2 linked regions of the Mus musculus genome follow. The protein of the gene in region 2 interacts with the protein of the main gene of each other region in a pairwise test. Links are inferred from orthologs where the notes say so. Each region holds a gene or a part of one and is shown on either strand. Other genes may lie near its edges.

The links.
Region 1: the proteins of Ushbp1 (region 2) and Necab2 interact in binary tests that used the Homo sapiens proteins (3 or more experiments, as listed by UniProt). The two-hybrid records come from large-scale screens. The link is inferred for Mus musculus from reciprocal best matches to the Homo sapiens genes USHBP1 and NECAB2.

Annotation. Positions count from the first base shown.
Region 1 is NC_000074.6:119,467,202-119,470,720, reverse strand, and holds part of Necab2 (N-terminal EF-hand calcium-binding protein 2), read right to left. Parts: intron 3,131-3,519; coding exon 3,077-3,130; intron 2,453-3,076; coding exon 2,340-2,452; intron 1-2,339. UniProt on the Homo sapiens protein: May act as a signaling scaffold protein that senses intracellular calcium.
Region 2 is NC_000074.6:71,393,000-71,397,301, forward strand, and holds the start of Ushbp1 (Usher syndrome type-1C protein-binding protein 1), read right to left. Parts: upstream 2,803-4,302; 5' UTR 2,715-2,802; intron 2,471-2,714; 5' UTR 2,395-2,470; coding exon 2,341-2,394; intron 2,173-2,340; coding exon 2,051-2,172; intron 1,812-2,050; coding exon 1,376-1,811; intron 1-1,375.

The sequences.
Region 1 (3,519 bases), about 48 Mb from region 2:
GCAGGGTTTTTAAAGATGCGCTTAAAACACCTGGTTTTGAGGGGTGGGGAGATGCTCAGTAGAATGTGAGGATCCATGTGAACAAAACTGGAGATCCTGTCTCGAAAACAATGTTGGGGCCAGGAATATGGCTCAGCCGGTAAAGGAGCTTGAAGCATAGCCCGATAGCCTGAGTTTGATTCCCAGGACCTACATAACGGAGGAGAGAACCAACTCCTGGAGTTTCCTCTGCCCTTTGCGCTGGCTAGGTTGTATGCCAGCCTCACATAAGCCCGAGTCATCTGAAAGGAGGGAGCCTCAAATAAGAAAATGCTTCCAGAAGGCAGTATGCTTGCCTGCAGGGCGTTTTCTTAATCAGTGATTGATGGGGGAGGGCCCATCCCACGGTGGGTGTGTCATCCCCCAGCTGGTGGTCCTGAGTTCTATAAGAAGGCAGGCTGAGCAAGCCCTGGGGGAGCAAGCCAGTAAGCAGCACCCTTCATAGCCTTAACATCAGCGCCTGCCTCCACGTTCCTGCTCCGACTGCCTTTCATGATGAACAGGGATCTGAAGTGCAGGTGAGATAAACTCTTTCCTTCTCAAGTTGCTGTTGGTTATGGGATTTCATCCCAACAGCAGCAACCCTAACTAAGACACACCACACCCTAACTCCTGGTACACAAGCTGGACATTCAGCTCAGGACCCCACCCCAAAAAAAATTGACTTCTGACCTACACACACAGAGGGATGTATACATACAAAATACGTGGGTTTTTAAACCAAAGCACACAGCCTGTGCCTTAGTCTCTTTCCTGCCTTTTGCTCTTAAGACAACCCCAGGAAGCCCAGACCGGAACTGAAAAGATACTGTCCCAGAATCCCAGGCATGTCACTTGAGTGACCCAGGATGTCACTCCATCTCAGAGGGGCTGAAGCAGTGGTGTGACCACGTGGGTTCTGGTGGAGTCCCTGTCCCCACCAGCTCCTCCTGGCCCCTGGATGCCTTTCTTTCTCACATGAGACCGAAGTGCACCCGAGTACCACAAGGAGGGACTCTCTTTAGGGAGAAGGCTGTGAGGGAACCCTACTGCTGCCCCATCATTGGTTTGTTATGTACCAGCCTAGAATCACATGCAGAGCTCGGGGTTCATGAGTGGATGGGGGTGCCAGGCTGCCAGCCTCAGTCTATGCCAGCCCGTGTAGGTGCCTGCTCTGGTCTCTCTCTCTAGGCACAGCAAAGGCTACCATGGACAGTTGGGTTCATAAGAGTGTGGCTCCCACGGGACGATCACTGCCAGCCTGGTGACTGCCTTTGCCCAGCTGATGGTGGCACGGCAGGGCAGGTGTGGGTATGGAGGACACACTAGGAGGAAGCCTTGTGCACTGGTATATCTCAGGGTCCCATCCTTCAAGAAGGACTGGGAGGAGGGGCAACAGTACGAGGAAGGCCCAGGTGAGGAAACAGGGGTGCCTGGGGTACAGGGTGTAGTTCCCCTTCCCTCTCTTCCTTTAAGAACCATCATTGCAGGCTGGCGAGATGGCTCAGTGGTTAAGAGCACTGGCTGCTCTTCTAAAGGTCCTGAGTTCAACTCCCAGCAACCACAAGGTGGCTCACAATCATCTATAATGGGGTCTGATGCCCTCTTCTGGCATGCAAGTGTACATACAGATAGAGTGCTCATATACATTTAAAACAATCTTTATCATTGCCCCCATTGTCAGTCAAACCTCCTGGCCTGAGTGTGTGGCTTCTCCCTATAACCCCGCTATTTCTCGATCAATCTTCACACAGAAGACAGGACGGATCTGGCTCCCAATGACATCATTTCAATGCACAGCCTGTGGCAGCCCTCCTTAGGCTGTTCACCCATTCCTTTGTCCAGTCAAACCACTGTCACCCTTTCTTGATATTGACAGTGTACAGACCCCTCACTGGTGCCCACAGTCCCCTGCTCTGCCTTGCTGAGCTGCCCAGGGTAAAAGGACAGGAGTGGTAATGGCAAGCGACCTACGGTCTAGAAGACACCCCTCCTAGAAGCTGTAGAGAGCTTCTCTCCTTAGTCAAGCGGGTACTGACTTGAGTCAGGCTCTGTGTTATAGTGGGAACCAGAGTGGCCTCAGCCAGGACATCTGTTTACCCTTCCCAACAAACTGCTTGCTGAGGAAGCCCAGGCCTGGGGGTGAACTCACCCACCACCTCCTACAGCTGGCATGGAGCTGAGCCCCACTTTCTAGGCTTTCCTGCCATATTCATCCCCTAGGGAAGGGCTGGCTCTGCCACACATACCCCTGCCTGCCCCCTGCCAGCCAGAGACCTTGGCCTTCTCCCCCACCCCAATGCAGTAAGCGCTTTACTTACTGGAAGCAGTTCCTTTCTTCAGCCGTGCTCCGGAGGTACTGTCTCAGGGAATCCAAGAACTCACTCAGCTGCTCAGGGCACACGGCCATTTCCTGCCGGACCAGCTGCAGGTGCTGTGAGCCACAGTGGACATGAACATGCATGCCAGGGCCTTCCCCAGCCACGTGGGCATCATTTCAACCCTGGCAGCCTATGCCTCGCTTCGGAGGGGTCACAATAAAATAAACCCACTGCACTATTTTTTGTTTGTTTGTTTGTTTTTCAAGACAGGGTTTCTCTGTGTAGCCCTGGCTGTCCTGGAACTCACTTTGTAGACCAGGCTGGTCTTGAACTCAGAAATCCGCCTGCCTCTGCCTCCCGAGTGCTGGGATTAAAGGCGTGCGCCACCACGCCTGGCCCCATCGCATTTTTTAGTCTTAGTTGTGAAAATCAATCAGCTAAAGGTGACAGGTCCAAATGGGTCAAGTCCCTGTGGGGTCCCCACAAAGAGGGCAGTAAGTAAGAAGGCTGCAGGAAGCCCCACCAAGAGGCACAACCATGGACCAATGGGTTGCTTTTCTGGCAAATGCACCGTCTGATGACTGACAGACGTCAGTCTGCTTTTTTATCAGTCTCAGAGCCTCAGCTTACCATGCCTCTTGGGGAGGGGTGGCCAGAGAGGGTGGCCAGAGACATGGAGTCACCACCTCGGAGAGCTAGAGGAACAGGTCAGAGGAGAGGGGTAGAAAGGGTCTCACCATGTTGGTGCCTTCTTCATCCGAGAGGCGCTGTTGCAGGTCAAACGAGAGGGTCTAGAACAAGACAGTGATGTATAGATTGGAGGCCACCTCCAGAAAGGCTCCCAAGACTACAACTCAGGGTATAGGGTACCGAACACCTGGAGAGTTACAGTCCCTGCCCTCGTGTGCCAGGGGTTCTGAGATCTCCCAGGCTGGAAGCAGGGTTCCCAGGGCCAGGCCTAGTGGACAGGCTACTTAGTTCCCAGGTATAGAGAGGTCTCAGAGGGGACCCTAGAACCAGTGAGCCAAGGAAATGGCAGAGGGTTCCTTATGGTCCAGGCCTCTGAAGTACTGGGAGGTTCAGAGACCAAGATGGGTCTAAATAAACTTGGCGAATGTGGCTGGAGCCAGGAAATCTTAGTAACAGGCACCCTGGGGTCCCCCAAATCAGGACAGTGTTT
Region 2 (4,302 bases):
TTTGTTGTTGTGAGAAGTCTCTGAAAGCTGTGCTAAGCCACGCCCCTAGCCCCTCATTGGAGGATTCTAGGCTGTCACTCTACCCCCCCCAGTCACGCCCACAGCCCTGACTGGAGGATTCTGTATCCCTACTTGTCCTAGTTTTGTTTTGAGACATTTGCCTATCTCGTCAAAGCTAGTGTTAAACTGTGATCCTCTCATCTGAGCCTCTGAAGTCCTTATCATTACAGGCTTGTCCCACCATATCTGGGTTTAACATCACCCATAATCTGTAGGTTTCTGGTCACCTCCACTAAACGCCCCGGGCCACTTCACCCCTCCTCCACCTTCAGGATTATGGTCCACCGCCAGACTGTTCCGCTCACAGTCATCAGATGGCACAAGTGAACGCCTGCAGCAGGTCAGTTCCCCTCAGAATCCACCACACACCAGAGCACACTAGCTTTCAACACCCTGCATACTGTGGCCTTCCCCCACGCGCCTTCATCTCTCCCACTCTGTTCCAGCCACAGTGATCTCAGGATCTGTGGTGGTTCGTGTGAACTTGACATCAACTGGAATCATTTTGGAAGAGGGACCACAATTGAGAAAATGCTCCCCGAAATGGACCTGTGGACACTTTTCTGATTGACAATTGATGGGGAGGGAGGGGCCAGCCCATTGTGGGTGGTGCCATCCCTGGGCTGTTGGTCCTGGTTCTATAAGAAAGCAGGCTGAGCAAGCCATAGGGAGCAAGCCAGTAAGCAGCATCCCTCCATGCCTTGAGGTTCCTGCCCGAGCTTCCCTCAGTGATGGAGTGTGGCCTGAGAGTCTTAAGATGAAATAAATCTCTTCCTCCCCAGTTGCTTTTGGTTGAGGTGTTTTATTACAGCAATAGAAACCCTAAAATAAGTCTGGCATAGCTCACACCTTTAATCCCAGCACTGGGAAAGCAGAGGCAGGTGGATCTCTGTGATTTTGAGGCCACCCTAGTCTACCCTAGTAAGTTCAGGACAGCCAGGGCTCTGTTACACAGAGAAATTCTGTATCCGAAAAAACGAAAAATAAAAAACACCCCCCAAGACAGGATTAGTGTGTGTGTTTGTGTGTGTGTGTAGTGCAACTGACATAGGTAGGGTCTGTAATCCAGGCTAGCCTTGGACTCAGTCTACAGCTGAGAACAAAGTTGGTCTTAGCCAGGGCTCACCTGAGTGGAGACTGTCCCTCTTGGACTTCCTGAGTGTTAAGATCATGGGGTGCAGCCTGCCTGTCTTCCTTGCTCTCCCTCTCACTGTGCTGTCTCTGTTGGTCACTTCCTTGGCACATCTGTCACTGTTCCACATCAGTGTGTCTGCTCCCAAGGCTGGATCTGCCTCTTCCCCAGTCACCAGCTTACCTGTCTCTGCAGAGTCTCCTTCTCTGCCTGGGCGTCCTGCAGTGAAGCCTGAGTGCATGCCAGCTCATCCTCCCGGTTGCACAGGGCTAGCCGCAGCCAGGCGTTCCTCTCTATGAGGCGAGCAGCCTCCTGCTGTCCAGGTCCTGCGTCTTCTTTCTCATCACCAAAGGGCCCCGGAGCCCCCTGGTCTCTGTCTTCTGCTTCCACTGACTTTGGAAAGCTTAGCGAGTGGTGGCGCAAGGCAGCTACAACTGCCTCAAGGGAGCTCAGCCTGCACTGCAAGGTCTCATACACACTGGGTACTGATATCTCAGCAGGGCCACTATCCAGGGGGGCTTCTTGCAGGACCTGGTGGGCTTCCACCTCAGGCTCGCACTGTTCTTCTGGGCTCAAGGATAGAACCGCATGGGATCCCACATCACAACCCTCCTTGATCCTGTGAAGATAGTGGGGGAACCCCAGCCACCTGAGGCTCAGAAGAGACCTGGAGGGCTAACCCTAGGGTCGCTAGGAAGGTAGAGTAGGGAATGAGCGGCATGGCTGGAGGATAAACAGGAAGAGGAGAGAGGCAGGCAGCAGAGGCAATGGGCAGGTGAGTGGCAGGAGGCAGCTTTGTGCAGGGGGGGTGTTGGGGTGTTGGGCTAGAATATAGGGTACATACTAAATGCATCCTACCAGTTCCTTGGGCTCTGAAGGCCAGGACCAAGGTATTCCTGATGCAGCTCAGGTTTAGTCTCGAAGCGTCCATTGTTGGCATCTACTTCCTCTGAGCTCTCAGCTACAGGGTCTAGCTCCCCCTGTGAATGAACCCCGTTTCCCCCCAACACACACACACAGTCTCTTGGCCATCATATCCAGCTCCACCTGTGGAGGACTCCCCTACACCACCACGGGCTCTGAGCCTAGCAGGCCTGGGTTCCCAGGATCCATGGGACTGAGTGTGGCAGGAAGAGGGGCACACTTACAGGCAGAGGATGCCTCCCTCGACGGCTTCGGGGCCGTGTGGCCCGGGCACTCATTGCCTCTGTCACTACAGTCTGCTTTCAGTTCTTGCCTTCGTCACCTTAGAATCCTTGTTTTTTGTTTTTTTGTTTCCTGTAGGATTTTTGGGGTGTCTACTCCGATTGACACATTTAAATATTCATATACCTCTCCAATAGTGCCCACTAACTATCTACTTGTTCCTTACTCCCCCATCCCCCATCTCTACTGGGCATTCTTCTCCCCTCAGCTGTCTGAAGGCGTTTCTCTTATCTGTGCCCCACCCCCCATAGAAGCATTGGGTAGGGACCCTAAAATCCTCTTTCTTCCTACGGCTCTTAGCATCAAACTCCCTCACCCTGGGGGTTGACCCTGCTGCGCTCTTCTCTGCTTCTCCAGAGCACCTTGGGAAAGGCCTGAGATCCAGGGCATATCTCAAGCCATTCTGGCCACTGGCTACTGAGGCTGCGATAGCCAAAAGTGGCCCGGGAGGGGCTGGGAAACAGGAAGCCCCCCTACCCTGATCACATGGACAGTTATTGTTTCGTTTCCTTCTCCAGGATGCCGGCTTCCTCCAGAACGGGAGGAGGATGGAGGACCAGGACCTTTGTCCCGCTCTAAAGATATCAGTATCCCCTTACCCGAGGCCAAACCTTCCATTTTCATTTTGGATTTTTTGTGTCCCCTGTTCACCAGGACTCGCTCTAATGTGAAGGTCTTTGTGTGTGTGTGTGTGTGTGTGTGTGTGTGTGTGTGTGTGTGTGTGTGTTTCTAAAACCAAAAAAAAACCAAAACTGTAGGAGTTGGCTTCAGCATTTGCACAGCTTTTATTTTTCATTACTTTGCTTTACTCATCTTTGTCTGTGGTGGTCCTACTTGTCTCCGAGATCGAACTCAGGCCCCTCAGGATTGGTGGCAAGAGCCTGCACCTGCTCAGTAGCCCACAACGTTTCTCTTCAATGAGTCTGAACTGCTGCATCAGGCGGTTGGAGGCACTGGCAACAATAAGCTTGTCCACAGTGTGTCTGCTGCCTTCTTTACTTTTTCTTTACATTTTAGTTTTTATACAGCGTCTCATTTAGCCCAGCCTGGTCTAAACGCCCGATCTTCGTCTCCGGGTCTCTGGAGTGTTGGGATGACAGGTGTGCACCACCAGTCCTCATCAAGGTACTAGTGAATGAATGCCAACCTAAGTTACATAAGTAACTGAGAAGGCCTTTGGCAAGTCCAAGCCAAGTCCTACCCCGTCAATCATCAAACGGCCCCGCCCAGCTCAGGCTTCTGTCCTATTTCAGCAGAAGCCTTGAGAACCATAGCGTGATTAAACCGGAACTACAAATTACGCCCAATTTTGCTTCTATCCACCACAGATCACACCCACTCCCAGTATTACCCATCTTCAGCCCCATTCCAGCCACTCCAAGCCACACCCCCAGAACGCCTCAGCCTATCAGCTTCCATGTCCCGAGGGCCACTGAACTACATTTCCCAGAAGGTGTCTCGGCAGCGCCGCACAAACTTCCGGCCAGGAAGATGGCGGCTTCCTAGAGTCCTGATTGACTGGCCGCGGTGCCCAGGCTACAGAGTGGAACCTGCGGCACTGTGAACGCGCGTGAGCTTTGTGTCGCCGTGGTCTAACTTCGACCCGGATTGCTGTAGCTCCAGGTTCGTTCTTCTTGAGGACTTAGGGGTGGGGGATTCGAGGTCCCGAGATGCCACCCCTAAAACCGCGCATCCATCGCAGGGTCACTTGGGCTTCCTGTGTTTCCCTAGGGACCGGACCGGCGCCGCCTCAGGGGAAAAGTAGTTTTGGGAAACTTCAACTGTATCTTTTCGGCTCCACAAACCAAGTCTCCCAGGTGTGGGAGCCACTGGAGGCCTTAATGGGTCGAATACCCAGTGACCAGGCAACTGGGGTGTTCGTCCTGTGTAAACAGCGGAAAGCT